3 linked regions of the Astyanax mexicanus genome follow. The protein of the gene in region 1 binds, or shares a complex with, the protein of each later gene. Links are inferred from orthologs where the notes say so. Each region holds a gene or a part of one and is shown in the gene's direction. Other genes may lie near its edges. The genes, in order: cwc22, bud13 and dhx16.

The links.
Region 2: cwc22 (region 1) and bud13 share a complex: the UniProt entries of both Homo sapiens proteins name them as parts of the minor spliceosome. The link is inferred for Astyanax mexicanus from reciprocal best matches to the Homo sapiens genes CWC22 and BUD13.
Region 3: cwc22 (region 1) and dhx16 share a complex: the UniProt entries of both Homo sapiens proteins name them as parts of the minor spliceosome. The link is inferred for Astyanax mexicanus from reciprocal best matches to the Homo sapiens genes CWC22 and DHX16.

What each region holds. Positions count from the first base shown.
Region 1 is NC_064418.1:50,564,544-50,575,329, forward strand, and holds the start of cwc22 (pre-mRNA-splicing factor CWC22 homolog), read left to right. Parts: upstream 1-5,877; 5' UTR 5,878-5,931; coding exon 5,932-5,997; intron 5,998-10,786. UniProt on the Homo sapiens protein: Required for pre-mRNA splicing as component of the spliceosome. As a component of the minor spliceosome, involved in the splicing of U12-type introns in pre-mRNAs. Promotes exon-junction complex (EJC) assembly.
Region 2 is NC_064424.1:6,795,672-6,807,091, forward strand, and holds the start of bud13 (BUD13 homolog), read left to right. Parts: upstream 1-6,392; 5' UTR 6,393-6,427; coding exon 6,428-6,570; intron 6,571-7,917; coding exon 7,918-8,017; intron 8,018-9,257; coding exon 9,258-9,342; intron 9,343-9,443; coding exon 9,444-9,486; intron 9,487-10,159; coding exon 10,160-10,482; intron 10,483-11,420. UniProt on the Homo sapiens protein: Involved in pre-mRNA splicing as component of the activated spliceosome. As a component of the minor spliceosome, involved in the splicing of U12-type introns in pre-mRNAs.
Region 3 is NC_064425.1:26,943,097-26,953,972, reverse strand, and holds the start of dhx16 (pre-mRNA-splicing factor ATP-dependent RNA helicase DHX16), read left to right. Parts: upstream 1-6,105; 5' UTR 6,106-6,419; intron 6,420-7,367; 5' UTR 7,368-7,387; coding exon 7,388-7,585; intron 7,586-7,702; coding exon 7,703-7,938; intron 7,939-8,509; coding exon 8,510-8,687; intron 8,688-8,784; coding exon 8,785-8,841; intron 8,842-9,211; coding exon 9,212-9,466; intron 9,467-10,228; coding exon 10,229-10,468; intron 10,469-10,699; coding exon 10,700-10,876. Other genes in the region: ppt2a.2 (lysosomal thioesterase PPT2-A-like), read right to left, coding at 1,460-1,544, 1,705-1,788, 2,198-2,305, 2,579-2,674, 3,098-3,251, 4,806-4,943. UniProt on the Homo sapiens protein: Required for pre-mRNA splicing as a component of the spliceosome. Contributes to pre-mRNA splicing after spliceosome formation and prior to the first transesterification reaction.

The sequences.
Region 1 (10,786 bases):
AATTAGGAGAAGGCAATAAATATGAATCACAAAACTAATTTCACTCTTTTTTCAGAGGCTTTAAATGGGGGTCAGATTGAGAAAGGGTTAATTAATTGACTGTACATACTGCTGTCCAATGACTTTCGGCATTTTAGATATTAGAGAAAAAGGGAGACGTTATTAATTTAGATTTATTTGTCAAATTGTTTCAATACAAAGCACCGAATTAAAGCTGACAGATGTAGAAACACCGAAGCTAACCATTTTGATTACTATAAAGTTTTCTGAACGTTACAGTTAATTAATCAGTCAAGTTTTCTGAATGTTCTTTATGTACGTTTTTTTAATTTACTCATTTTATTTATAATTGTTTTCCCATTTTTTCCCAATTTACATGGCCAATTAAACCAACATCACTAGTGATGCTCCAACACCAGGAGGGTTAAGAAGACCAACACACGCCTCCTCCGATACATGTGAAGTCAGACTCCGCCTCTTTTTAAACTGCTGCTGATGCTGTAGCATTATCGAGTAGCATCACAGCGCTAACGCTCGGAGGAAAGCGCAGCAGCTCTGGTGGTTCTGATACACCAGCTCACAGACGCAGCCTTGTGCTGATCCACATCACCAACATCATCTTATTCTCTCTGTTATTGACTCTTATTCTTTTATTGGATGATTATAAATTATCGCCAGATCAGCACTCTATAAAACATTGTGTTCCGAGTCATTAGCACTATAATTCAGAACTAATAAAATCCACAGTCAGATTACAGTACAGCGCTGTCACGTCCCTCCCGGCCGGAGAATAACTGCGCCGGCCCGGCTGTACCGTTAATTAGGCTGATGGATCGCGGCCTAATGCGCTCTGAAGTGTTTAAGGGTAAGACAGGCCTTTCCTGTCACTCAGAGGACGCTCGTCTCAGAGACGGGGACGGAGACTTGGGTGATTAGCAGAGGGACGATGCGTCTGAAAATGCTTTAATCAGAGATAATTATTGGTCGGACAGTGTGATGAGTAATGATTGATGAGTGATGATTGATATGTGATGAGTGATGATTGATGAGTAATGATTGATGAGTGATGATTGATGAATGATTATTAAAGAGTGATGATTGATGAGTAATGAGTGATGAGTGATGATTGATGAGTGATGATTGATGAGTGATGATTGATGAGTGATGATTGATGAGTGAATATCGATGAGTGATGATTGATGAGTGATTATATATGAGTGATGAGTGATTATTGATGAGTGACGAGTGATGATTGATGAGTGATGATTGATGAGTGATGATTGATGAACGATGAGTGATGATTGATGAGTGATGATTGATGAGTGAATATCGATGAGTGATGATTGATGAGTGATTATATATGAGTGATGAGTGATTATTGATGAGTGACGAGTGATGATTGATGAGTAATGATTGATGAGTGATGATTGATGAATGATTATTAAAGAGTGATGATTGATGAGTAATGAGTGATGAGTGATGAGTGATGATTGATGAGTGATGATTTATGAGTAATGAGTGATGATTGATGAGTGATGATTGATGAGTGAATATCGATGAGTGATGATTGATGAGTGATTATATATGAGTGATGAGTGATTATTGATGAGTGACGAGTGATGATTGATGAGTGATGATTGATGAACGATGAGTGATGATTGATGAGTGATGATTGATGATTGATGAGTGATAAACGATAAGAGATGAACGATGAGTGATGATTGATGTGTGATGAGTGATGTGTGATGAGTGATGATTGATGAGTGATGAGTGATGATTGATGAGTGATGAACGATGAGTGATGATTGATGAGTGATTAATGATGATTGATGTGTGATAAGTGATGATTGATGAGTGAGGAGTGATGTGTGATGAGTGATAAACGATGAGTGATGAGTAATGTTTGATGCTTGATGTGTGATGAGTGATGAATGATGAGTGATGATTGATGAGTGATGAGTGATAAATGATGAGTGATGAATGATAAACGATGAGTGATGAATGATGAGTGATGATTGATGAGTGATGTGTAATGAGTGATGATGATGATTGATGAGTGATGAACCAGACTGAAGAATCTCAATCGCTTCAGGACGGATGACGAGTCGATAATAGGTGACGTCTTCAATTACGCTTAATAACGAGTTTTAGAGAAACAGAGGATATGATGAGATGAGTGATTATCTCAGAATGATAAAACACTGTTAGTTACACTTTTATTACACAACATAACAGAATAAGAGCAATTAATCACACTCACTCACTCCCACTTAAAATTAAAATACTGATAGAGGAAGTGGCTATAACTCTAAGAAAAAAACATTAAACCATTTTTTAACCCTTTCAGACCCTGCTTTCATTACAATGGGCATCATGCATTTTCTTATTTTTTTAAGTGTCAAAACACTAACCGAGAGCTGTTTTTAATCAGAATAGACTTTAAACAAGCCAAATAAAAAGTTTATGAGCCAATGAAAGGATAGCTTAGCCCTTATCACAAAAAAACAGCACTAGAACCAAAGAAGCAAATATATTGGAATATAAACAGGTTGAGAGCAGTAACGCACTGCCTCTGATCAGCACTAGGGGGCGGTATTGTGTAAGCAAAGAGTCTGTACACACTCTGCCGAGTTTAATCAGAGATAATCAGACAGACAGACAGAGAGACAGAGAGATAGATTGTTTGAGTAAAATGAACATTGTTGTTTTATTCTATAAACTACAGACAACATTTCTCCCAAATTACAAATAAAAATATTCTCATTTAGAGCATTTATTTACAGAAAATGAGAAATGACTGAAATAACAAAAAAGATGCAGAACTTTCAGACCTCAAATAATGCAAAGAAAACAAGTTCATATTCATAAAGTTTTAAGAGTTCAGAAATAATCAATATTTGGTGGAATAACCCTGTTTTTTAATCACAGTTTTTTTTTTCATGCATCTTGGCATCATGTTCTCCTCCACCAGTCTTACACACTGCTTTTGGATAACTTTATGCTGCTTTACTCCTGGTGTAATAATTCAAGCAGTTCAGTTTGGTGGTTTGATGGTTTGTGATCATCCATCTTCCTCTTGATTATATTCCAGAGGTTTTCAATTTGGTAAAATCAAAGAAACTCATCATTTTTAAGTGCTCTCTTATTATTTTACAGAGCTGTTCTTCAGATGTTCAGTAGGGGGCGTCCTCTCCCGCAGTAGGAGCAGGAGTGTTAGTATTAGTGTGGTGTGGCTGGTGAGCAGCTGCATCCCATCACACACTAAACTCCTCCAGATGGAGCTGGACCCGGCCCAGGCCGGCACCGGGCTTCAACTGGGTTACACCGGGTCCACACCGCCATCAGGGACCACACACACTGCAGCCTGAACCACACACACCACACACACGCCCAACACCGCCTCAGCATCCGGTGCCAGCTCACCAGCCCAGTAACCTGCCCTACTGTACTACTTAGAGATAAATACTAAATTTAATTCCTTTTCTAGACACATGAGATCTTAGGTCCTATTTATCCATAGGTGTGCCATCATTCGTGCACCATGAAGCTTGATTTAGGGCGTGGCAGTGTGTCTTTGCTATTGTAAAGACGGGAAAAGTATTAATCATGGGTGTGGTTAATTTTGGGCGTAACGTGAAATAAATTTAATAAACCAATCAGAGAGTCTCTTCAGCTCATCATTCTCTTTAAGAGTAGATCAGGTGAGCTCTGTCTTTGGTGGATTGCTATTGTAACGGTGCAGCTACCTGGACGTGTTCAACAAACTCTTCTCAGCAGAGGAAACTGAGCTGCTGGTTGACGCTGTGAAGGAGCTCCAGCAGCTCATTTACGGGAACAGCAATGTTATTTTATTTACTATTCTGTTTATTGTTGATGTAAAAGTTGGGTTTGTGCTGCTGTGTGTTCATGTGTGTGTAATAAGTGGGGGTGTACGCTCGGCTCGGCACGGCGCCTGTGTTACCGAGATAGCGATGAACGCACAACCCCAAATCTGAAAAATACACAATACAGGTGATTTACAGGTGATTATAATCGTGCATTGTGACCATAACCATCCTCTTTACTCATCATTTCAGCTGCTGCCATCAAGCAGGAGACTAAAGGTTCCACTAAAGTTAAAGTTTTCTCTTATCTTATCTTTAAAAATAAGCTAAAATAAATACATTAAACATGCACAAACCTTGATATAAATGAGTGTATGTTGCTGAAATGTTTGATAGTGTTAAGAACAGTTTTATGGTTTTAATGTGAACTGAACCTCTGGCTGAATATGCAGCAGTAACTGTTATTATGTAAGTAAAGCAATTTTAGCTTTGTTGTTTTTGTTGTTTTTATTTTCTATTCATTATTATTTCTCTCACACAGTGTTTACCGGCCGTCTGGTGGCTGTGTGGTGGGGCAGGGCCTGTGGCGCTGGTTCCTGTACTGAGAGAGAGAGAGTGGGCACAGCGGGCAGAGAGGGCAGTGTGTGGCATGTCCTGCCAACGGGATAGTTAAATTAGAGCTGAGACTCTCTGATTGGTGGAGGACGTCAGGGGCACAGCCTCTGTCTGGCTGCAGGACCAAGACATACAGGTGTATTACTGAGAGGAAAGTCTTATATAGCAGTATACAGGACATTCCTGCTCCAATTACACGTCTTGTTTACTTCAGGAGGTCTTAAAAAGAGTGATCCAATCCAAAAAGCACAAAACTTATTCTGAGCAAAATAGATGGTTATTTCACTGCATTCAAGCTGAGCACAAAGGGCAGAACACTATAGACCAGTGATATGGGTATCAGTTGTGGTCCGCAATGCATTTTCAAAGCAACTCAGAAAATATTTATATTAAAAAAATGTATAAGGTATTGATTTCAACCTAAAAATTTTAACCTTGATCAGGTTTGTTTGTGTACCTGGTAGAGCCTGCATATAAGCTTTATTTTCACACTTCAGATATTTAAAGTTCTATAGGTCCTACAGTTGAACCTTGTGGAACTCCACCATTCACAATATCAGTAGTTATTTACTGTATTAGTATTAATAGCTAAATAATTAGTATAGGGTTTAAGGGGGAGCCATGTAGACTCTGTGGTTCACTCCTCCCTATTCTCACACTCCTGTTATTTCCCTCTGTCTTAAACTTTCCCACATGTCTCAGTAGGCATACTGCATTTACAATAAACAATAATCAAGAAATACAGTGTGGTAAAAAAAGTATTTCATTTTAGTTTTGGGTTCTTTTTCATACTTACATTTTCAGAATAAAAAAAAATCTTTTAATATCAGACAAGGATAATCTGAGTAACTAAAAAAATATTTTTTTTGAACGATAATTTCATTTATTTGTGAAAAAAAATATATGTGAGAAAGTATTTGCCCCCTAAAAACAATACCTTGGTTGTGATGTCACTGATGATGTCAAATGTTAATAATAAACATTTAAAATAGCTAAATCATTGTAAAAAAAAAACGTGTTTAAAAAATTAACAATATAATATTTTAAAAGGACCATGGTAATGTAATCAGGCAGTGCTGCAGACAAACTCACCCCCCACAACCAATAAAACCGTATATAACATAGAAAAAGTTAGTTAAAGTGAAGATTTATATGATTTTTTTATGATAATAATAATAATAATAATAATAATAATAATAATAATAGTAATAATAATAATGTGTTTTATTGAGATAATATCAATAACGTCTTATTTTGTTATTTGTTTAAATTTAACACAGTAGTTTCTACGTTTAATCGTTTAGGAAACGTTGTAAGCTGCAAAATAATAGACTGTCTAAACGTTGTCGCAACGTTACCGTGTTCATACAGGAAGTCGCGCCTTTTTTTCTGACATCGACTTCAAGCTGCGTCTAAAACGCGTTTTCACTTTTGTTGTTTGTCCCTTTCCGGTACCCGTAGCGGCTTCCACTCGTGGTGGAAAGAGGCGAACATGGCGGCGGCGGCGGAGTCCGGAGAAAAAGAGGCGGCGGAGGGATTAACCCGCAGCCCGGAGCAGGTGAGCGGGAGCCGGGGAGCGGGCGGCGGAGATACCGCTGCGGGGGAGCGGGACCCGGAGCGGGGAGAGCGCGGGACACAGACCGGGGGGAGAGAGCGGGAGAGCGGCCTGTGTACACACACACTCCCGGAGCGCGCGTTATTAATCTCATACTACACAACTATCGATTAATCGGGTTATTGATCATTAAACAGCAGATTTAAGGTCAAATGCGGCTCACACACACTAATAAACCCCCTATACTAACTAACAAACACACTCTTAGTGTTTATTTACAGTTAATAGTAATGATGTTTACAGTAATTATGGTGTTCAAACAACTGTCCTACTTTAGCACCAAACTTAGAGCTAACACTCACTATACTACATTACTATTCACTATACTACACTAATACTCACTATAATTACTATAATGATACTCTATTCCACACTCATAATAACTGTGCTAGACTAACAAATACTATAGTACAGTAATACTCACTTTACTACACTAACACTCACTGTAATACAAGACTAACACTATTAGTTACTACAATAACACTCACTATACTACACTAACACTAACTATACTACACTAACACTCTATAATACTACACTAATACTAACTATACTGGACTAACACTGACTACTTGTAGAACACTCACTATACTACATTAAAACTCACTAATTCTACACTAATACTATACTGTATTACTACTGTAATACTACTTTAACACTCACTATACTATACTAACACTTTAATACCACACTAATATGCACTGTACTGGACTAACACTATACTATTCTGAAAACTATTATACACTAAAATTCACTGTACTACACTAATGCTCACCATACTACACTAATACTCACTATACTACACTAGCAGTCACTAGAATATTCTACATTGATACTTACTATACTACAGTAATGCTCACTGTAGTCTACTATGCTTATGCTCACTATACTAGACCAATACTCACTATACTACACTAATTCTACACCATTACACTACAACACCACCAATACTATACCTATACTAATACTCACTATAATATACTACACTAATACTCTACACTTATACTCACTGTTTTAAACTAACACACAAACTCTTGGTGTTTATTTACACTTACCAGTAGAGTGGTGTTTATAAAACTCTCGCCAAACTCTCACCTAACTCTCACTATATTAACTAATACACACTACACTATTATAGTGCCGTAAAAAATATATTTGCTCCTTATAGATTTCTTTTGTCATTGCTTTTTTTGTCATACTTATATTTTTCATATTCTCAAACAAACTTCAATATCAAACAAATATAACCTAAGTAAATATAAAAAGCAGCTGGAGATCATCAGGATGTTAGTTGGTAAATGTGAGACGGGTGGTTGTATTTCTCTGTTTTTGGTCAGCAGTGTTTTTTTTTTTATTATTTATTTCTTATTATTAAATCATTAACACTGATCTTAACTGAGGCTTTAGTGAGATCCTGCAGTTCTTTAAATGTTGTTCTGGGTTCTTTTATGGACCTCCTGGATGAGTTCTTCATGCCCTTTGCAGTAATTTGGGTCGGCCGGTCACTCCTGGGAAGGTTCACCAGTGTTCCATTTGTTTTTTCTCCATTAGTGAATAATAGTGAATCACTGTGGTTCTCTGGAGTCTCAAAGCTTTAGAAATGACTTTATAACCTTTTCCAGACTGAAAGATGATCAGTAACTTTTTCTCATCTGATGTTGAATTTCTTCAGATGGGAGAATAATAATGTGCTGATTTTTTAGATCTTTTATCTTCCTTATGTTTTCAGATATGTTCTATTTTAGTGATTTTCATTGTAGCTATGGCTAGGTTGGTTTGGATAAATGTTGTTTTCCCTTATTACAAGAAATAGTAAAAAAGGCTTTTTTTTATGTTTACCCAGGTCTTTCTGTTTTTGAAGTTTGTTTAATAATCTGAAAAATGTAAGTATGATAAAAAAAAAAGCAAAAATAAATGTCTATAGGGGTGGGGCGAAATACACTGTACACACTAACACACTAATTATACACTGTAGTATTGTATCTAGGGATATATGTAGTCTTATCATTCTATGATCTTGAGATTAAATGTGACCTAAAAGGTACTTTCAGAATCAGAACGTAAATAAAAAAATCCATAATCCATTTTTAATATTTCAGACACCTTCTGACACTGGCTTTAACATGATTTATTTAGCTTAGCCTTCTCTTCCTGTTTTATTTCGGAACGTTTTATTTGATAAAGTAGTTTATTTTGGAGTTTCAGGTTGCAGTAAGTGTTCCATCTGTTCCACTTAAGAAGTGTTTAAAAATTTAAGAGCGTAAGCTCTAAAAGAAAAGTGTATTTTAGCTCCTGTGAGTCATATCTAAGTTTTTTATTCACAGTACAAACTTAATAAATTATCTTTATATACCATTAAAAATTTAAATAGTATACATTTATGTTTGTCTTGCTTTTCAAAAAGAAAAAACAACTGCAGATATACAATTTAAAAATGTTTATTGCACACAAAACATTATCATTCAGGGCTATTCTAATCATACATTTACCTCAGAAATTAAAATGAAATCTCAATATTCTTTGAATATACACTACAGGTAAAATGTATAATTTTTCCACTTTATCTTTGTCATTTAATCTCTTTATGTATAGTCTGGAACCTGAAATAGTAAATATTCCAGTGTACAAAAAATATTTTTATTCTAATCATGAATTTACCTCAGCAAAGCTTCTTTCTTTTTAATCATACATTTACCTGAGCAGCACTATTCTAATCATGGATTTACCTCAGCAGTGCTATTCTAATCATGGATTTACCTCAGCAGTGCTCTTTTATTTATACATTTACCTCAGCATTTACCTCAGCATTTACCTTAGCATTGTGACTGTTCTAATTGTGAATTCACCTCAACAAGGTCATTATATTCATGGCGTTATCTCAGCAGTGCTGTTTAGTCTTCCTAACTTGTCAGTAAGTGGCACTGTCGCCTAATAAAACCGCTAATGTGTCTCCAGGCTCTTTAAATTCTCAGACGCACGTGAATAATTTATCTTAAATAAAACAAACAGGTTTAATTTTCCCAAACAAATGGCATGCATTAATGCATTAGTGGTGACCGCCTGCATTATTGGTTCTTTTACTTATTTGACTAGGGTTGTGACATATCGTATCGTATGCGATAATATCGCCAACTATTTTAAATATGGTGAAGTTGAACCATATTATAACCTGAAATATGATGCCCATATATCACCCACCCCTAATTATCACATCAGGGTTCTACTTTTTACTGTTTTCATTTATTTTATTTTAATCCTTTCTTTTATATGGAGATATTTGGAGGAGTGCATTATTGGTTGGCGTGATTAGAATAACACTTATTAGTATCATGACTGATTATTCAGGATCATTGACTTCTGTTACAAATCTGATAAAATTATTTATTTATTTTTTAAATATCTCAGTTAGGGATGTGCCATATAATATCGTATGCAATATTAAAAATACATTTTCATTTTTTTGCAGTTTTTTGCATGTTTTAATTGAATGTTTTGTCATATCGCCAAGAATATCGTTATCGCAAAAATACCATGGAATATTGTGATATTATTTTAGGGCCATATCGCCCACCTCTATATTTGACTGCATTTTGTGTCTAGCTTGCGTTTGAGGGTCTGTTTTTTGTTTGACAGAGATTTAAGCTTAGAGTTGAAAATTCCTCCACTATTTTAAAAGGGTGCTCGACTGATATCAGGGTGGATGGTGCCGTAAATGCGGTGGATACGGTGGATACGCTCGGATGCAGAATTGAGGCTAAATCTGTAGTTTTTCTCTGGAGCTCAGGGTAAAGTGCTTATACTGCTTTATCTCAGTCTGTTTCTTTATCCTTTTTATAGCGATGACCAGTCTGTGTTAATAATTTATCCCTTCAGCGCCCTGGATGCCGAGGGCCCGGCCGTTTCCCATTGTTCCCACTGTGTAGATAAGTTTGTGTACTGGCCGGCGTTTCTATAAGCTTGGGGGTCTCTGCTGCTGCTGCTTCTTCTCCCTGAAGGCCTTTCGTTTCTGCAGAGGAAGCAAACCCAAGGCTATTCTTCCACGAGGCAAAACCAACCCCCCTCCTTCCTCCTCTTTCGGATCGGAGCTTCATCCTCCTGTATCTCACTCAGAACCGCTCAGGACCCGGCTCACGGGCTCCTCCGGCAACAAAGGAGAAAAGCCCGTCTGCTGCCCCGGCAGGGTTCCTACACTCACAGCAAATTGAGTTTTGATTGAAAACGAACCGCCGGCAGCTGTGATTGGCGTCTCTGTAGAAACGGAGACTCTGAGGAGTGCTGTTGCAGCGCGGGGACGGGGACGCAGGCGTGTGCTGCGCTGTTCCTGCTGTTTATGCTGTTTGTGCTGGTTATGCTGTTTGTCGGTGGTTGGTGCGAGACGGCGTGTCAGACGGGTTGCTGTTACACTTCATTACAAACAGCCGAACACGTCAGCACAAACTGAATTAGCTGATTTACATTCTCGCTCTCGCGCCTAAAACCCCCTGATAAGCGCACACACCTGTGATACCTGTGCTTTTTTATAAACATCTTAGTATGCGTTTTTCTAAGCAGAGTCCATACCTTACATACATGCAGAAATGTCTCATTAAATGTATCATGAAAAAAATATTCTTATTATCTCTTTCTTATTATTGAATCATTAACACTGATCGTAACTGAGGCTTTAGTGAGATCCTGCAGTTCTTTAAATGTTGTTCTGGGTTCTTTTGGGACCTCCTGGATGAGTTCTTCA
Region 2 (11,420 bases), on another chromosome or scaffold:
CTACTTCCGCTTGTGTAGTTCACAGACAGCCTGAAACACAGTTAAAGAAAACCTGTGTAAAGAAAAAGGGTACATCACTCACCTGTGTGAAGACGCGTCTAATCAGACTGAGCTCATTTTTAGATTGAGTTTATAAAGGAGAGCTGTGTGTTTACGTAAGCATGTGTTAGCTTTATAACCTCATTCCATAGATGCTTCTCATTTCTTGTGTATGAGATTTCACAATACAGCTAAATACCTGAAAGATGCCTGTCCTGTATCATATGAGTGATTCAAATGTAGCATGAGTTTTTTTTATTGATAAGAAAATCAGAAGATTTACAGAAGATTTTTTTTATTTCTAAAAAAACTAAAGGTGCTACAAAAGATTATTTGAGTAATGCCTTAGAGGTACCATTTTTGCTTCCATAGAGAATAACACATTCTTTAAATGAACTGTATGAATGAAAGTAGGAATTCATGCTCATTGTTCTTAATGGAGTTCTGGCTTCTTCCCAGTTCTGAATATTGATACAAAATTAATTATATTTACTTTTTTTCTTTTTGTGATAAAAAGAGCACATGACTGTAAATATTCTAAGGTTATAATCCAGATGTAACATGAAAATTGTATTTTATTATTTTATAGTTAAAGGAGAACTCTGGTGTAAAAATGGTTTGATGAATAGCACACCTCTATATAGACTCTGCATAGCGTAGCAGTCGGCGCCAGGAGTAATGGTGGCACTCACAGCTGAAGCTAGCGTTATAGGATATAAAAAGTGTTTTTATTGAGCTTCTTGTGCACTTTTTAAGTTATTAATGCCTTGTTTTAACGATGGAAAAATTGATTTATCGGGGTAAAATATGCCCCGTGTCACCCAGTCTGAAGGGTGTTTGGACAAACTGTTAAAATTTCTGGAGAACTGAGTTGTGCTATTCATCAAAGGTAAGATCTTTTCATCGTGTTTTACCACACCAAAATTAAATTTAAACATCAAAATTAAAAATTAAACTTCTTTAAAATCAGGTAAGAACTAATTATATATAACACAAAACATACATTTAATTTAAGCATTTTAAAGGTTACATGGTTGGAACAGAGCTTTAGAAGCTAAAATACACTTTTAAAGAAGCTAGTTTTATCTCTTGCACTAAACCAGTGCTTAGATGAACGAACGCAGATTCAAACACCGCCCTGTAGTGATGCTCTCAGGATATTCAGCAGGCTATATGTAACGTAGGGACTTTATAAATAAGTAAAGGACAGAACTTTACACAGCTTTTAAAGGGTCTGCACGCATAGATCATTATAGGTTATTTTGGGTTAAAATGTAAACTGTCCTATTGATGATTTATTTGAAGAATACCCTGTATTACCCTGTATACACCCTAAAAAGTGTATTAAGTATATATTTTTAAAGTACATACTTTTTAAAATTAAAATATGCACTTAAATACATACTTAATGTACTAATTTGGAACAACGTATGGCAACTTAAGCATATTTAACTTTTAATTAAGCTATATTTAAATGCAACATAAAAGCATTAAATTGTGCTTTTGAGTGCTTTCTCGTACAACTTCTGCAAACTTAAGTAGATTTAAGTATGTGTTTTTAAACATACAATTGAAGTATATTTTAAGTGTACTGTGTACTGAGCGTACTGATGCACATATTGTATACACCTCAATGACTATGGAACAAAGCAGTATTTATTGCTACTATATTCTATCAACACAATGTATACTAAAGCACTAAAGCATATTGCTTAAGAATACATTTTCTGGAAATACAGAGAAAGTATATTTAATGTGCTTTTTCTTAAAGTATGTAAAATTGAAAACACACTTTTATATTCTTTACCTTATTTGAAAATACTTTTAATGCTCTTAAGTATATTACTTTTTCACAAGGGTAATCTTCACTTTATTAGCTTTTTTTTATCTAAATGTGACAGTTTCCGTGACAGTTTCTGTCTGATTGCATGCGGCACGTGGTCAGGGTAAATTATATTAAGTCATGCACTGGTAGTTAAAAGCTGAAACTAAAATGATAAAGTTATGAGTCATATATATGTTTTAATGTCTAGATCCTGTTTAACCTGTTTTACATGGCCTACCAGTCAGACCGACAAAATTCCACATAATTTCATCATCATCATCATCATCATCATCATCATCATCATCAGGTCCTGTCTGTACATTCATGAGCGTTTGGTTTCGCTTTCTTTTCTTCTGTAGTTTCTTTTCTTTCACATGAGTTTAAAAGAGAAAGAAAGAGAGTGAGACATGTTTAAAAGCACAGAGTCAAATTTTCAGCATTCTGTGTTAAAGCAGCTTCACACTGCACAGGTATATGTGCTGCAGCACAGAATCTTCTCACTATATTTACTTTCTTGCTCAAGTGCCAGACAGCTCTGACCAATCAGAGGAGAGGATGTCACGTGGTTTATTAGTGCGCATTTGTTGCGTTAAGGTTTATGCCTGTGTGAAACCAAACCAAACAGAGGGAAAAACACTCCAAATAAACTATCTATATAAATAAACTCATAAACTCAATAAACTCATCAACTGATCCGGATCATAGAAATTTCACAACTACAGGTGTGTAAACACTCTTTTATACTCAGCAAATTTCTAAAGTTCTAATTCAGAAATACCTACAACCAAGCTGAGATGTTTATAATAAAGTAAAAAAAAGTTTTCTTTATCAAATTGATCACGCATTCTTTATTTCAGCACCCCATGTTGGCTTTATCTCCCCTCAAACATACTAGTATATACTAGTATTTTAATTGACACCACTAGTATAAACTACCCCAATTATAGCTGGCTGCGGCTGCTGTTTGCGGTCACCATGATGTAAATTGGAGTTATCAGTGTCCTTCCACTGGGTCGTGTAAGCAAGATACAAGTGGTAGCTGGGCCCAGAACTGGGCCATGTAATATCAGAAAAACCTTAAACACAGATTAATTTTTGAAGAAACGAAAGTAAAAATCAACAACTGGCCTAACATGTTGCCTGATCTGAAACCTGTTGGGCATCTTTGGGGAATCGGAAAGTACTATGTTGAGAAATGTAACCCTTCCAAAGAAGCTTCCAGAGCTAAAATAATAATTCCAGAGCTGTGAATAATAATCTAATCTAATCATTGAAGTCAAATGTTATTTGCTCAACAACACTGTCTTCTATGCCAAATGTCCAACTCTGGAATAATCTTCCAGAATATATTCGGGACTCAGACATAGTCTCAATCTTTATCTTACTTGTTTAGTTTAGATTTTGATAGTTAATGTTTTTCCCTTTAGATAAGGCTGCAGATCCAGGGGTTCATGGATAAAGGGAATTGTGGATAAACTGAGATGCTGGTACTGCTATTGGTGGAGTGGGTGGATGCCAGTCTTTCAGGGTGCCTCCGTGTCTGTGTTACCTTCTGGCTCTCTGCCTTTAGTTAGGCTGTCATTAGCCACACTCTACATACTGTTCTACATACATCCAGGCAAAAATAGTTCAATTTCTCTGCCTTTCTGTGTTCTCTATCTATCTCTTCTACATGTATCGAGATGCCCTGTTCCTGAAGTACCTATTACATTAGATATAGCTCCACATGTTTTGTTCTGTTATTTGATTGTAGTGAGCGGGTCGACTCGAGAGGGATGGGTTCCTCTGAATGAGTCTTGGTTCCTCCTAGAGTTTCTTCCTCTTAATGTCACTAGAATAATTGATCTCTGTGCTCTCTATCATCTCTTTCCTCATAAGAGGCGTGAACCTGTTTTTCTCTGTAAAGCTGCATTTTGACAACTTCTGTTGTAAAAAGTGCAATATAAATAAAATTGAATTTAACTGAATTGAGAGAGATGGATAAAAAACATAGAGAAGTGAATAAGATCCTCAGTTCTTTATTGATTGAATTTCTATTTTCTAGACTTAATAAAGTAGAATGTTTATCATAACTAACTTTAATACTGTACGTCAGCATTGTATAAAACATTCTGTTGGTCCTAGTGCTGGAAGTGATTCCAGTACCCTTAACGTACCCTTATCGTCTTGCTTTAATTGCATTAATAACCTGGATACGGTTGGGATCCCACACACAGTCTTCTTCAAGACCACTGGGAACCATGCCGCACTCTGGAGGACACCAGGCAGTGTCGTACCCGTGATCGTGCCAGCTCTTCTGCAGTGGGTGACCTTGACGATCAATTTTCTTCACTCTTCCTACATTAACTTTTACACGCAGGACGACTCTCTGGTTCTCAGGTAAATTCAGAGGGTATCTGCTGGCTTTATTAAGATCACGGCTGAGGTAAACACCACGCCCCAGCATGCCGTCTACAGACTGCTTAAACCCATGAGCCATGATACTCTCAGCAGCAGGTCGAGAAGTGCCGTGATACATCCGATACACTCCTCCCTCTACAGGCTCTGAACGGCTCTCAAGACAAGGCACTCCTGGAGGACCCGAGTCGTTTTCTGCCCACATGATGAAGTCCACAGAGTGTGTTCAGATCACTGCAAAAAATACAAAATACTGATACAATTTGGTGCTTAATCATTTTAAAGAAGTCTTAAAGACACATAAATTCTGGGTGAAATTTATATTTGCAATGTTCAGGCAAAAAAACAGGCCCACGTATAGCCAGCTGTGTACTTTGGTGAGCATTAGTGTTGCCTTTACACATTCAAATGATATATCTGTATCAAGCATTAAGTTTGTTGCCATTAGAAACTTCTGTTCTTCTAATGGTAATAAAAAAATAAAATTGTTAGAAGATGACCTAATAGACAAATGTAAATATATCAATTATATTTCTTTTTAAAAAAATGTTCATTGTGTTTTATTTATTGTTTTTATATTTCCTAACATTTTCATCCACTGTGCTGCTGTAACACTGCAAATGTCTCTTCTATGGGATTAATAATGGGTAATCTAGTCTTGTCTTTTTTAAGTCAAGTGGCATGATGGCCCATGTCAACATGTCACAACTTATTAAGATGGCTTCATATCCTACGGCACAGGAAATGCAATGAATAGTACATGATGTATACAGAGTATACAGATAAGACTAAACAAATGATTCTGCAAGCCTCATTACATGTACTGAAATCCCCTCCACCCCACCCCCGTCCTCATAAAGTGTCTAAACAAAAAGTTTAATTCTTCATTAATCACAAAGTCAGAAGGAGATCAAGTATATGTATATATAATATATATTTAAAAGAGCAAGCTTAAGTTTTAATGCCTACCTGGGTTTGATTATCACAGAATGATCTGGAGGATTAGAAATGAGCGCAGCCTTAAACAAACCGTTACTTTTCATTTCCTGATCATGAGCGTGTAGAAAAGACACCCACAGACATCCTGTTGTTGTTTCAAATAGATAGATGTAGATAGCCAGTCTTCTTGGGGAGTTCCTTCTATGTGAACCTCCATATTTTAGAAAAGGCAGTTTTATTCATATTTTATTTGCAGTTGTGCTTAAATAGTAATAAACAGCATTAATGTAGAGCTGTTCACTATATAAACCACTGTTTCCTTTCATTTATATAAATTATGTAAGAAAAGCTCAATTGGGTCAACATGATTACACTCCATTATTCATAATCACTTTCACTGCATTTTATCTCGGTTTGTAGGTTTGGGGGAAAGAAATATAAAAATAGAAGAAGTTGTTTTTTTATCTCTGTATTATTGCTGTATTTTCTTGTGGGATAAATGGCTTTCTTTTCCCAAAAAAAGATGGTGAGCAACGCTGGACATTATTGTTCTCCTCCAAGAATATTGATCCTTGAACAGCATTAGAACATTGGGTGCTTATACTGCAGACAAACCAAGTCTCCCTGAAGTTGCGGGAGTCTCCCGCATTTCGGTACTGGCTCCCTGAAATCAACTTTTGCAACTTGGGATGTCTGATACTGTATAATGTATAATGCTGTTATACTGTAAATTTCCAGTGTTGTAATAAAGTCATGCAAATCTTGCTGGAGTTGTATTGCTGCAAAAACAATAACAGCTATTTCTTTCATAGCTTTGATTTTGTGGTTAGTAGAACCAAAAATAGTCATTATATATTTTGCAAAAATGTGTTTTGGGGAAGGGGATAGTGCACTATAGGACTCTGTGGCGTAGCCTAGAACTTCTATTGGTAGATTCATCAAAAATTTTTGACAAATGAAAAATGGAGATACTTGTTTTTCATTGGACAGCAACGATTTTCTGGATTGTTTAACACTTTTTTTTTTTTAGTTTTTTATTAGTTCAACCTTATATTTACAATGTAAAAAAAAACATAAAACTCATTAAATAAGAAGACTGAAAGACTTATGACTGGTACAACAGTATATTTCACAATGAAGTTTTTAGTCATTCCCACAAAAAAAGCGTTTTGTACTGTATGTCCCACAACGGCTCCGGTTGTCGTTGTGACGTCGGTCATAAACACGATGGCCGCTTCCACAGGGCTGAGTAAAGGCGCTGCTCTGTCTAAAGCGGATTATTTAAAGCGATATCTGAGTAAAGATGCGGATAATAAAGCGGATAAAGAGAAGAAGGGGAAGAAGAAGCGGGTTAAAGCCCCGGGGAGAGGGTGAGTGCGGCCGGGACTGCAGGAACTCAGAGCTATGCTAATGCTAAGCTAAACAATCCAAAAACACACAGAAACTATGCTAAGCTAAGCTATGCTAACACTACAGCTATAACCCATAGAGCGGGGAACTCCTACAGTACACTACTGAATTAAATACAGTGTTATAGTAAGCATTAATCAGACCCATTCAACCTTACATGCTGCTTTTTATAGTAAACACTAGGGGTGGGCGATATGGCTCTAAAATTATATCACGATATTTCAGGGTATTTTTGCGATGTAGGAAAACTAAAATAATTCATTCATTTCAGGAATATAGTATAATAGTATAACAGTATAGTCATAATGTGGCAAAATAAATCTAGCATAAAATAATATAATGCAGCAAATAACGTTTCAGAATATTTAGTGCATGCATATAAACTGCAAACTAAAACAATTATACAATAAATACACCTAAAGCTTCACAGTAAATAATAGACTATTTTTAAGACAGAGAAGCTCTATTATCACAATATTGATTTTTAATATCATGATATTTCTGTGTCACAATATATCGTATACAATATAATATTGCCCACCGCTAGTAAACACTATAACTTTAAAAGTCTACCTTTAGGAAAGGATACATGTAAAATATGAAAATCACTGCAACATGAAAGAGTTGTTTACAGGTTTCTGACAGAAGCAAATATCAGTGGACCACGGAGATTATATCACAGTACTTAAAGATATTCTGATAATCTTATGAAGCATTGTTTTTATTTTGGTGTTTTTATTGTTTTGACTCGAGGAAAAGATATTCCAGAAGTGTATCTTCTTAAAATTTATATTCAAATACTCTTTCATGTAGGGGTGAGCAATATTATATCGTATACAATATATATCGTGACACAGAAATATCATGATATTAAAAATACATATCCTGATTAGAGATGTTCTAATAGAGATGTTCTGTATTAAAAGTAGTCTATTATTTACTGTGAAGCTTTAGGTGTATTTATTGTATAATTGTTTTAGTTTGCAGTTTATATGCATGCACTAAATATTCTGCAATATTTTTTGCTGCATTATAATATTTTATGCTATATCTTTTATTTTGCCACATTATGATTATGCTGTTCTACTCTTATACTATATTCCTGAAATCAATTAATTATTTTTCTGTTTTCCTATATCGCCAAGTATATCGTTATCACAAAAATACCCTGAAATATCCTGATATTATTTTAGAGCCATATCGCCCACCCCTACTTTCATGCAGAGTACAGTGATTTATGTTACTGAAATGTTTACACTCTCTGTAATGAAATGTACAGGTCAGTGTTCTTGTGTGCACTGTTTTAGGATGAAGATTGTAGATGATGATATTGACTGGAGGCAGCTGAGCGCGAAGACAGAAGAGGAAAACAAGGAGGAGGAGGAGGAAGAAGAAGAGGCGCCTGTGGTATATTACACTAGTTAAATTTAATTGAAATGCATTTAAATTATATTTAATAAAGAGTTCAAATGTAGAACTTCAACCAGTTATGTAAAAACAGTAAAACTCTTATTCAGGTCACAAAACACCTTAAGGAGAGGTGTCCAAATCTTTTCCAAAGGGCAGATTGGACTATATCAATCCCTGCTAAAAGAATTAACCAAAGATGAGCCAATCATCCCTGAAAACCACATAGTCTCTTCCTGTCAAAAGCTAGTTAACGAGCTACCTAACCAGCATAGGGAATGTTTTTTTTTTCTTTTTGACCAGCTGGTCTTGAGCTGGATTTTTAGCAGGGTTATTCCTTAGATATAAGAGATGCACAATGATAATGGAATTATATCTCCCCCCCCCCCCCCCCCCAATATGGCCAATATTTCAAACCCGTAGTTTCTGATGTATTAATTGTATGCTGGAAAAGGTGTTCGTTCTCTACTACAATTGGCTAACACTGGCCATGCTACTAGTACTAAAATATATTGATATAAGCCTTTTTTGTATCAACTTTAAAGTTAAAAAGTTATACTGTGATTTCTAGTCTCTCTGTAAGTTATACATGTGTATATCTGCATCAGAATCGGCAGCTATATCCATATAATGCATGTAATATTGGATATCTGCATCAACCCAGAATTCCCACATAGTGGGATAGCGATAGCTAGATTTCCCGGACATAAAATACTACAGTACAGTCGATGAACAGACAGATTTAAAAACTTTGGTGGATCAGTGCAATAGATGGTAGGTGCAATATGCAAATGTCATTGGATATAAGATAAACTGGACTGACTGGGTGTGCATATATACACATCTACACTATATGACTTTTTTTTTTTACCTACATTATATTATCAAAAGTATTCACAGGTTCCAGTCACTTCCATAGCCTCAGGTAAATGAAACCAAGACCCTGGTCATACAGACTGCTTCTTTAAACATTAGTGAAAGAATGGGTCTCTCTCAAGGGCCCAGGGAACTCCAGCACTGTGGTACCCTGATAGGATGCAGCACCTGTGCAACAAGACCAGTCGTGTAATTTCCTCACTACTAAATATCCCATGTATGCACGTTCCTATATGTGCCTACCCATTCATCTGTGGATGAGCCTGATAAAAAATTAACTTGTAAAATGTTCTGCCTGATTAAGTCATCTCTGCAGCCGAGCTGCTTCATCTTCCATTCTTGAAGCATAGTGTCTCCTTTGCAGGTTGCAGAGATAATAGACGAACGTCCAGATGAAGTCCAGCAACTGGAAGCATTTAGAACCAGTAACAAGTGGAGGATAATGGGAGGTGAGATGTCATATCTTGACTTTCTAATGAGATTAAATTTAAAATGTTTAGTTTCTTACTGAATGTAATTTAGGTTTTCTTGTTTATGTCAAATTTCACAGCAACAAATGAGGAATCCCAAGAATCTCCAGTTTCACATTCAAGGTAACTCAACTTTATCCTAACAGCTGACAAGAATTATATATTATCTTATGGTCAGTAGGGCTGCAACTATTAGTCGATGTTGATTTAAAAAAAAAATTTAATCCAAATTTCAGTGTTGACTATAGCGAAGATATAGTCTCTCTAGCGAAAATGGAGGAAGCTAGGAACAGCTTAAAGCCGTACCTTCAGGTAACAAAGATGAAAAGCACGGCAGAAATAACTAACCGCTAATTAGAGGGGAAAAATAGTCGCCTACCAAAATAATCAGTTGCTGCCCTAATTCTCCAAAATCTTTTTTTTTTTTTTTTTTTTCTGTTTTTCACTTTTTGATAGAATGTTGTTCTTCAGGTTCTGTTTTAATGTTGTTGATTTGATCATAAATTGCCACAGTAGCCTAGCTGTTAGGTGGGAGGAGGCTACTGGCGCTGTGTAGGAAATAGTTGGATGGAAATGGGCTCTGTGTTCAACCCAAGATGTAAGGTTCTTCAAATACTGTGGGACATTTATCGACAGAGAAACCAGTATACATGCTCTAAAATATATGTAATTAAAATCATTTTCGATTGACTTTTATAAAAAGTTAAGAATTTTAAAAAGGTTTATATTTTAGCGATTTGAAGTTGATTATGAATATCTTGACTTTACTTCTGTATGTGTGTTCCTCTCTCTTTAGTTCAGAAGTCAAAGGGAACAGAAGAGTCCGACATGATTCTCCTGATAATTCTCCAGTGCGTCGAACTCGCCATGATTCTCCTGATCTTTCACCACAGAGGAGAGTCCGCCACGACTCCCCTGATCTGTCCCCCAAAAGAAGAGTCCGCCACGACTCGCCTGACCATTCGCCACAGAGGAGAATCCGACACGATTCTCCAGACCTTTCCCCACCAAGACTAAAGGCAGAGACATCACGCAGGCGGCATGACTCCTCGTCACCTTCTCCTCCACGAAAGATTATGAAAAGCTCATCTTCTAATTCACAAAGGCAACAGAGCAGAGGTACGGGTACTAAGCTCTTTGATTTTTCGTACACTTGCGCCATTTCCATGGAGTCTTTCACCCAATCCCATTTTCCCCACTGATTAGCCCTGACCCTTTGTTTTGCATGTCCTGATTCTTAAGCTGTTAGAATGGAGGGGTAGGTTAGGGAAAGTGCTGGGGCTACATGGCCCTGCAATTTAGAATTTTCAGGGGAGCACTCTAAACGTATGGCTATGAGAATCACTGGCAAGATGGTGCAGCACAAGTGATCAAAAGAAACCCACAAATTTGGGTATTTTCCTTGTTAAAAATGACGATAAGTGATGTTATGTAATAACAAAAGTTTGAGAGAAGGACCACACCCGAACCCTACATTCTAACCCCACCCTGTATCAATCAGCCGCCCTATAAATACCTGCCCTAACTAACTACCTCTCGTGACGAAAGTTCGCAACCCAGCTCCTCCCCAACAACCCCCCTTCTTCTACTCCATCACTTCCTATTAAATAAAAAAGGGGGGGGATATAACTGCACACTCCTTCAGCACGCAGTTCAGAACTCCAGCCCAAAATTCCCCGAGTTCCCTCCCCTTTTTCCTTCCTTTCTCTACTTCATTTAGGCGTGGTCCGCACTTTGCTTGTTTTATGGCTGTTTACTTTATAACAAGCATAAAAAATCGCTAATAGTTTGTATTAGTAGTTAGCTAGCTAACTTGTTCCATCTTAAATGGTGTAACAAACATAAGAAGCTGCAAGATTTATGGTGGAATGGAAAAATAAAATTAAATTAAAGTGAATAAAGGCTAATTTCAGCCCCCATCACTGAGGAATTATGAATTATTTATCCATACCTGTCATACTGCAATATCATCTGGGCTAGTACCTTCAAAAGCAGTCTCACAGGCCTACATATTCTCCAAAAACAGTAGGTTAGAATGATCACTTCTTCTCCATTTA
Region 3 (10,876 bases), on another chromosome or scaffold:
CTTTATATGTAGTATTTTTATGCTAACTTGTGTATTTTACTTGTAGTTTATTTAAATTTAATTTGTATTATCTGGATTAAAAATCTAGAGGTGCTATCTATATAATAATAATAATAACAATAATAATAATAACAATAATTATTATTGTTATTATTATTATTGTTATTATTATTATTATTATTCCTAGACAACCGACAAATACTGCAATGACGTTTCCAGAGATCATGAACATTTTTTTGGGAATAAGGATGACAGGTTAATGAATCGATTTAGGTTTCCAGTAGCCACACTCATTGAACTGTGTGATGAGTTGGGTACAGATTTTTAGAGACCAATGTTTCTTGAACCAGGCAATAAATGAACACTTACATGTGTTCACAACCCTTGGAAAAGCTTTTTAAATTTGAAGACCTTTTTATCCTTTACAACAGTTTGGATTGTGGAGTTATCATTATTAATTGCTGCAGGCACATGTTGGCTGCAACCACCAAACAACACATTCTTCCTCGCCTCAACCTCCGAAACAAGGAATTCTACTTCACAGTCTCTAAAATTTCACTTTGTTGTCTTGAGTTCCTGTTATCCCACTCAGGATAAATGGGGAATACAATATTTAAATAGTCAGTAAGTGTTTTGCATGGACTTTTATGGGTAAATGTGGGCAGCAGAGTGGCGAAATATGCAGCTGGGTCACCTGCAAATATTTATAAGCAGATTGTAATTTATATAAAAGGAAACAGCATTTAGGTTTGCGTACACACATTTTTTTTTTATCCAATTTTTTGGGTGGGCGCAATTTCCTGTTTTTTATGCGTGCACACACTTTTGCTTCAGAATTTAGAGTTTTACAAATGAGGCCCCAGGTCTGGATTTTTAAATATCTATGTGTTAGAGCTAAGCAATATGCAGGTATTTCAGTAAATTGTGATACATTTTGTTATCATGAGACACAAAATATTTTTTCTGATGGACATCATGGACATCCCCAGTGCTCCATTAATATTGATTAAATTATTAAATGCATATTTTATTACAAAGTTTCATTACAAGTGTAATTAGTCTTTTTTTATCTGGGTGAAGTGCAACATATTTTACATAAAAAATAAAGAACTGTATTAACTATGGGAGAGTAACTGAATGGCAGTTGTGACAAAAAAAATGCAGATACAGATGCTTTTGTCTACACTGTCAAAATATTGCAAAAAAATATTGTGATAATATTTTACCATAGCCCAGCCCTACTTTTCTTTTCCATACTAACATACTACCATTCATCAAAGTTTTCACATACATGATATTAATTTCAGTCCTTTAAATCACGTAGGGGGTCATTACTTTTTAAACAAATTCAATAAAAAAATAGAACTTATTGTTGTGTTCTTTGAATGTAATTTTAACACCTTTAAAATGATTTCCTAATTAAGTGATGAAATGAGCAGTTAAATATATAATCTGATACCTCGACTGCCAAGGTGTAATAACTCCATCATCTGGTCCTCCAATCAGCACCAACTTCTTAATGCCCAAGAAGCGTTCTCGCCATTCTGAAAAAGAGGAACAAAATACAGGATTCCGTTCATGTTCAACCAAAGCATAGATATTTAATCAATTTATGTTGCCTTCAAAACTGTCTTAAAGTAATTTAGTAGTAGTGTTAGAATTTGAAAAACAATAGCTTTTTGTAAATCTTAAAAAAGAGATTACCTGTTATATTGGGGGTTTTGCTCTCGCCATTTAAAAGGGCAAGATAAGTGTTGCTCTTCAAGTACTTCACTCTCTGGTGTGGATCTAAAGATGACAAATTGGATATACAATGATATCAGAATTTAATTATTTGTATCAGAATAAATACTTAAATTAAAGATTTTAATAAATCTACATTGAACAGAGCTGAGCAATATTTCTTTATTTTTTTGCTCAAAAAATTCAATAATTATTTCACGAAACCCAAATAAGCACAACATTCAGGTGATGCTAAGCTTTATGAAAATATATTCATTGTTTTTTTGCAATATTTGTAACACTTAAAGAAAATATTGTATTATTTAATCCAAAAAAGTATACTCAATTCCTATACGTTAGATAATGTTTGTCCCTAAAGAAATTTACATAAACAAATTCTAGACATTCCAATCAAGCCACAATTCCCATTTTATTACATCTAAAAAAAAAAGACAATGTGGTGAAAACCTCTAACCATTCCAGAAGTTGCAGATTGAGATCTTTTGTCCCCAGCAGTTGTAGCACAGGCGATAAACTCCTGACTTAATATCTTTTGGGAAGACTTTCTTCAGATAGGAAGTTTCTGTAAAAAGAGAGGTGATTTTAGTGTTTGAAATTTTCAGACAATTAAACTTTGTGTATTTTCTAACAGTGTTTCTATATATTATTATTTTTTAAATGGCACCTTGATGGTACAAGAAATCGTAATTATAATGTGTGATAAAACTGTACAAAATAAATAATATTTCTGTAAAAATAGAGTTATTAAAAATAAAGTTATCTGTAGTTGTTAAACTGTATTAAGATAAAAATATATGACAGCAGCTGAATATTGAATTGTAAAAGTTATATTAACCTCCGTACTGGCCAGCTAGTGGTGATGACAGAAAGATCAGTGAATGAACATTGTGTTTCGGAAGAGTGGCAAGAAGTCCACGGCATACCAAACCACCTGCACAGTTAACCCATATGAAAATACATCAGTCAACCATAACAATACTATCTCCTTTTCCCCGCACATACTCACTTGTCTTATACGATCTTGTAGGAGCATGTTGCAGTTCTATAATTACAGACTGTAGTCATTCAGTTTCTCTGCTGCTTTATTATCCTCTGTTTACTCTGTTCACACAGGACCATCAGAGAACAGGTATTATTTGGGTGGTGGGTCATTCTCTATTCTGTAATGCACATTACATACTTACAGTAAACCCCGCTACTATGTCATGACCACCTGACCATTAAAAACAAAATATAAGGACGACAATAATGTATGCAGAGAAAGAGATGAACTACGGTCTGTAATTATACTATATAAACTATATAGTTCCTAACAGCTGAAGAAACTTGGATTTGGACATGAAGGGCAGCAGACCTTGTGAGAAGCAAATGAAGTGAATTCCATCTGTGGCACTTTCCATGATTGGCAACACAGCCTTTCTAAAGCCCTCAACCTGCTGCCACAGGGGTTTCAGACTGGCCATGTTGTCATACAGGTCTACTGTGGTCACATTGGTACCTGGGTGAGTCTAAAAAACAAAGTGAAAAAGAGAAGTCAAGGATTTTAATTCATGAACTGAAAGAAACTTAGTTGCAGGTTGGAAACAGCAATGCCAAACTACTGATACACCCACACACTCCCGCTCTTCAACACACACAAACACACAGAAGTGCTTCTTAAGGCTGGCCCTGGAGTACCACTGGACTGCAATGTCTCTGGCCCCTGCACCAACACAGCTTACAAGGGTTTTGTAAAGTAGGCCCTCAGTTGGATCACATGCTGCCAAATGGAGCTGAGAAATACTACAATGTGGTGCAGGGTGGTGGTACTTCAGGACCAGCATTGAGAAGTGTTCTCTATCTGGTCAGAAATAATTCAACTGAAGTAAAATTAAATCTAATTTTGCTTTTCACCACTATTTTGTCACAGTCATGCAAAAATGTTCCAGAAGCAAACAAAAACAATGTTCAATGGAACTCAATATAAAAAGAGTGTTAAAATAGTAAAAATAACAAACATTGCTTAATTAATACAATTAAAAACAACAAGTAAAAATATTTTAACAATATTTAATTATTCAATGTCCCCCTCTGCATAACAATTTTAGGCAAATGTGTGTGTCTGCTAGGTATGCAACAAAAATGAGTGAATTGTTTTGTAACAAATGTAAAAAATAATAAATAAATAAATAAATAAATACATAAGTCTGTATTGATTTATTGTGCACCCCATAAATTAAAAGATTTTATGCCAAGTCAGGAGCATTTCTATTGGTTGTATACAAATTACAAAACTGCCAAATATCATGTTCATGTAGAATGTGGGGTAGATTAAATGATATTCAAAAACCTCAAATTTAATCCTTGGTATGTAAACAAAATAAACCATTGTAATCATTTTGGAGCACAAAACCCTAACCATAACCCTTACTGTCCATAATTTAATGGTTTAATGTTCGTATTATCAAGATGAATATATTTATGTATTTCATTGCACACATACTGTTCCAGCCAACTCTGCATCGTAGTAAATAAACCTTTAAAATAGAAACAATGTTCTGTATTGGGTGAATCATTTGAATATCTTGAATATTAATTATGATGATATTAAGTCAGCTAAACATGGTTATGGAGAACAATACTATTTTTAACTACACAGACAAACAAATCAGTTTGACCTAGGAATATTATTAAGGTTTCTTACATTAAAACTATTTACAGCTAAAATAGTGGTCAAAAAGAAAGTTGTGTATGTTACATTTTAGGCCAAAATTCCACCTTAGTATTTGTGCAATGTAATTTGTAAACTATTTCAGTTTTTATGGGGCATAGTATATATTCATAGGGTATAGTATTCAGCAGTATTTCTCAACCATAGTCCTGGAGGCCCACTGCTCCCAACACACCTGATCCAATTAATTCATTAGCTCACTAACAACAGCACGTTATTGTGTTGGTAAAATGTGCAGGGCAGTGGGCCTACACTGGAATAGAGCATTTCACACCACACACAATTATTTAATCTTCATAAACACAGACAATTACAAGACTACTAACTTACCTACATTTGTTTTTTTTCTTACCTCACTGATAAATGTCCCCAGCTTCACAAACTGTTTGGGGCCATCAAACAGCCCATGAACAATAACCACTGGTCGATAGCCACAGACAACAGCTAGCAAAACGCAGGAAAGCACAAAGTTTATAAAATTCCTGATCATTTCTGCCTAATTAAAGCGTATATCCACGATTTTCTTGGTTAATGCCTGTCTAAAGTGGCGGTGACTTTAAACCCAGCACTCCTGACGCTCTGAGAGTAAAAAATGCGGCTGACAAGAGGCTAATTCCCACTTTAAGCTGGTAGGTGGTTCCTCTTATTTATTTATTCAGGTCTAATCTCAGAGACCACTTCCTTCACCGTGTGCAGAAAACAACACCTTTTAACTGAAACCGGTAACAAGTATTTTAAGTGTACTACCGCACATCAGGCCCACTTCACTTTTCTAGTTAAGCCACTACACACACAATTGTAGATCTGAGCGGCCACGAGCAGTGGGCGGAGATTAACCTGCGTTTATTTGCATGTAATCTGCATATCGCAAAAAAAAAAATCTCGATTTCTTTCTTTTTTATTTTTGCACATGTATTTGCAGTTGTTATAATGTCTTTATATAATAATGGACAAATAAAAAGGTCAAAAATGATATGAAAAAAAACGGCTTTCTTTGAAACTCTAGAAGTTTTTTGTTCTCCTGTATTTTTTTCGTTTAAGGAAAGGTTTTTGCATGGCAGTGATGATGTTAAGTATTCTGAATGTACTAAGCAGCAGACACAAAAGACAGAATTTATAATAATTTAGCTTTTTTTAATAACTGATATTATGCATGATAAATGTCTGAAAAATTTAACAAGTTTTTAAAAGACTAAAGGGTTGTTAAATGAAATAGTTATTTGAATCCATTAGAAGAACAGAGCCCTCTAACAAGAACATAACATTGCAAAGATTTTTAAACAGAGATTGATTTTTGAATTGATTGAAAATTAATTTGAACTACTTTTTAAAGGAATCAAATAAAAAAAAGAAATATATATATAAAAAAGTCTTTTTTTATATTTCATATTTACTCAAATGCGTTTTTTGAAACGGCCACTTAAGATTTAAGTCTATGAGAATTATTGTCAAATCTGGTGAAAAATGTTACAATTAACTTATATACTACAATTTAATTGTAAATTAATTGTAAAATTAATAATTGAGATCACACTGACCCTTACAGAGTTTCTTCCAGTTTTTGGATCTATATATATACATATATATATATATACATATATATATATATGTATATATATATATGTATCTGTGCTTTTATTTTGTCAGGTGGCGGCTGGTCGAACTCGGAAGTAAATAAAGTGAAGACAGCGTGAGTAGCAGCAGCAGATACAGTGCTGCTGTTTTAGTCTATAAAACCCTGTGGAGTCCTTCGTTAACAGTCTGATGATGAGAGTCAGTGAAAGAGAATGGAATAGAGGAGATAATATTTCAGTGTGAAAGAATCAGGGTCTGAACTTCAGACACACAGACTGTGTTACAAGCTTCACCCTCAGCTGGACTACAGCTAACAGCTAACAGCTAACTTATCCAGCCTGAGCTCTGGATGCTCCCTGATCTGCTCAAACTGGAAATAAGCTTTAGTTAGGTAAGATTTCTTCTGTTTAACTGTTAAATTGAGTAAAACGATCTGGTACACTCTTTCTCTTTCTTACTCTCGTTAGTTTTAGCGAGTCATGGGGGTTGTTTACTGTCTCGGGGATCTGCATGTTTCGTTCACAGTTGTAGGAACTGTGCCTTATCAGACATTAAATTCTATTTTTTTGCTTTAAAGTATATATTTCCTCCTTTACAGCTGTGTTCATTTACCCATCACATCAGGTTGCAAAACGGCATCAATAACATCAAATCTAATCGAATCAGATCAGATTTATTGTCAGAACACAAGCGATTGAAAACTCTCTTATTTGTTAACATATAATATACCCAATTAAAAATACAGAATATGCACACGCACTATTATTTTTTTCACTCACTGCTTCAGTTGAACAGGATTCGAATATATAAACAGTAAAATATATAGGTGCTTAAATCACTATTTACACTGGAATTGGGACATATTAAAACAGAAGAACTGTAGTACAGATTATGTGCATATTAGCATAATGATACAGAATGAATTAGGTGCAGGTATGGAAAAATACAAATACAAAAAGGCTAAATTTAATAGAGAAGAAGAATTCAATAGGTTAGATGTCTAAAATCAGTGTTCAGTTTCAGGGTATAAAATAATATTAAGAGATAAGGGATTTAAAAGGAGATGATTAGGAGACACCACAACCAGTCTGACCATGGAATATTACGTGTTTGCATCTAAAGTTTATTTCTTTAGATCTTTACTGGTGCTATGTCGCTAATATATATTTGAAAAAAAGTAAAAAAAAAAAAAATGTGCAAATTCGTTTTTTTAATAAATCCATTCCTTTCAGCAAAGTGTTTTTAAAATCTCTGAAGCAGTCATTGAAATATATTAATGTTTAAAGAAGTAAAAGTTATGTGATTGGTGATGTTAACATTGAAGCACAATGTGTTTCAGCTGTTCATCCTCCCTTCAACATGGCTAATCTTGAGCAGTGGGTGAGTGACAGGCTTCACGACATCTTGGGCCTGAGCGACCGGTACGTGGCCCAGTTTATGATCGGCCTTGTGCAGAAGTCCTCGAGTTCACAGGATTTTTTGGCTCGTCTGGAGCACACCGGCACCATTGACATCGACCAGAGAGTCACTGCTTTCGCACAGGAGCTATATAACAAGGTACCTTCCAAGTTAACACCAACTGTGTGTGTGTGTGTGTTTGTGTGTGTGTGTGTGTTTTGTTGTGTAATATCGCTTTACTTTGATGATTGACACCTTTTGCTTTGTTGTGTTCAGATCCCAAAGAAACAGGTTGTGGAGAAACCTGCGAGAGCGGTAGAGCGTCAGGCCATCGAGATGGACAGGAAGAACCGAACATACACCCTCCTGGAGGACAGTGACAGTGATGGAGATACTGTCAAAGAAAAAGGGAAAGAGAAGAAAAGCAAAGATAAAGATAGAGGGAAGAAGAGAAAGCACCTAAGACAAAAACAAGATGACGGTTCATCAAGTGAGGAGGACAGAAAAAAGAGGTGAGATATTAAATGTTTAAGTGCAGAGATGGAGGAAAAAATTATACTGGATTTCTCTGACACTTTGTTTATGGGAGTGTCGCATAGACCTAATGCAGATGACGTAACCCTAACAAACAATATGGTTTTGTCCACTTAGATTCCTTTCACTTGTTATTTCCATTAGAATTAAATACTTTGACTCATGTACACCACTTAAGTTTTCCATTAGATTTTTTTCCTGTGTAATTTTCATTCATTTGAGTTTCTGTGCCTTTTCATTTAATTAGTTTTGTAAAAACATTCAGCCAATTGTATAACAGTGTAAATTGAATTAATTTTAAACTGTGACAATTTATTTAAGCTATTATGTACTTGTTCTACCCTTGTGGAGACTGCACTTGTTAAATTGTGCTAAGTTGCAGTGTAATTCAGTGTAACCGAGTAATGTTTAAAAACCACAAATGCTTAACTTAAAACATGAATACTGAATTTGATTACCTGAAAACGGAGGGAGAGTTTGTTTTTAAGAAGCTTTAAAGTGCATATTTAAATGTATTATTTTTATTGTTTGTTTGCTTGCTCTGTTCAGCACAAAAGTAACATCCCAAGATTCAAAGACAGGAGTAAAAGAGGATGATGAAGAAGAGTGGGAAAAGGAGGAGCGAGAGCGGTTACAAGATCTGGAAGAGAGAGACGCATTTGCAGAAAGAGTCAAGCAGAGAGACAAAGAAAAGACTAGACATATACTTGAAAGAAACGATAAGAAGGTATGAGCCCTAAAACATCACTATATTATATGTGTAAAACATTGTTTTACCTTTTTAACTAAAACTAATGTAACTGAAACTTCCTCTTTGCTCTTAGGCATATGAGGAGGCTCAGAAGAGACTTAAGATGGCTGAAGAAGATCAGAAGAAAATGGTAAGATATTCCTCTTACACATCTCATTGCATTTTATAAATAACACTGAGTAGTTTAAATTGAAAGATTGCCACCTCCCATTGTCCAGTATTCACAATTTAAGATGAGGCTGGATTGTTTGTCAACTAAAGTAACTAAAGCTTAATTTGTCTTGGATATACAGTATACTTCACATTGCAAAGCGTACTATATTTTGGCTCATTCACACCTATACATGGTTTGCACTGGTCTGCTGCAGTTAAAGATTTTTGTAAACATCAGATATGACATTCATGGTATGTTCATAACTGTCCATTTCAGCCATTAAAAAGTGCAAGTGTGAAAGCCCCCTTAAATAACGTCGTTTCACGTTCTCACAATTCCTCCACAGCTCCCTGAGCTTCGAAAACAGTCACGATGGGATTACCTGGCCAAGCGTGAGCAGGAGAAGCTGGAAGACCTGGAAGCAGAGATTTTGGATGAGGAGTACCTCTTCTCCAGCGATAACCTCACTGACAGGGAGAGGAAAGAGCTAGACTACAAGAGACAGATCAGAGACCTGGCACGAGACTACAAGACAGCTGGAGCAAAGGAGAAAGAGGAGAGAAAGAACCGCTACTACATGCCAGAGGAGAACAGAAAGAAGGTAAGGTGGAGCATTTTGGGTAGATGATAACCTACATATCTACATTAGGTGGTGGGAATCACAGGGCATCTCATTCTACAATATTATCATACTATCATATTATCATATTATCAATATGTTGCCTATGATTGCAATGATATCCCAAACTGTGATACTCCAATATATCGCACTGAAGAGGGTAAATTATGGATTTATTGGTGTCCGTTTCATAGAACAACCAATATTCAATATCACCACAAGTTTACCCTGATCATTTGATTAGAGCCACCACGTGGAGTAATGAAGCAGTTACTTTAGTAAGTCAAATTCTTCTTGAGCAAGTCTTAAGGAGTTTAGAGAGCCTGTGTTTTAATAAAAATATTGATAGTGTAAATACATGTGGTGCAGGTGGATGAGCTGCAACAATTCTAAGGACTTTTAATATCAGGGAAAATGACTTCTCTTAAACAGTACTTTCAGGGAAAAAAACAGTAAAAGAAGAGTCAGCCTCATTTATTTATCAGTATCTTAAAATATTCTTAAATTGTTCTTTGAGAAAAGTCTGTCAGATTCATGATGTGGTTTTAAACTTTAAAACTGTTCACATCTCTGCTCTTATAATGATTGATCTAAAAAAAAAACACTGGTGAATATCAGAATCTTTGTGAAAACTGCTTAAGTGAGTTTTAAAAGAACTCTATAAGAACAAAGAGCCTGTTATTTACTTTTTATTTATTTTTTATTTTTTATTTTAATTTTTTTGCTCTTTCCCCCGTTTTTCAGTCCATACCTCAGAGAGACCTGGAGCTGGAGTTTGAAGAGACTCCCCGCGAAGGGGGTGGGGAGCAGGGCCGATGGGAGGAGGCGCGGGTCGCTACCGCAACCTTACAGTTTGGAGCAAAAGCGGAGAGAGAGCGACGGTTAAAGGAGGAGAAAGAGAAGTACCAATTAGTGCTGGAGGAGGAGGAGATGATTAACTTTGTAAGCACTGCTATCACCATGAAGGGAACACAATCTGAAAAGGTTTGTAGATAAATAAAAGTGTATACTTTTATTGAATGTATATATATATATATATATATATATATATATATATATATATATATATATATATATATATACACACTATTCATAACATTTCAGTGTTTTCTTTCTTCCGTAATTAAATAATTAAATAACGAATACAACATGAAGCACTATGGTAAATCCTCATGGTTATATTTATATTGATTCTCTTCTGCTGACTGTTGGCAGGATATTGAGCCTGAGCTCTCTCAAGCTGAGAAACAGAAACAGTCCATTCAGGAAGTGAGGCGCAGTCTGCCAGTGTTTCCCTACAGACAAGACCTCCTCAATGCCATCAGAGACCACCAGATCCTTGTTATTGAGGGTGAGACTGGCTCTGGAAAAACCACCCAGATCCCTCAATAC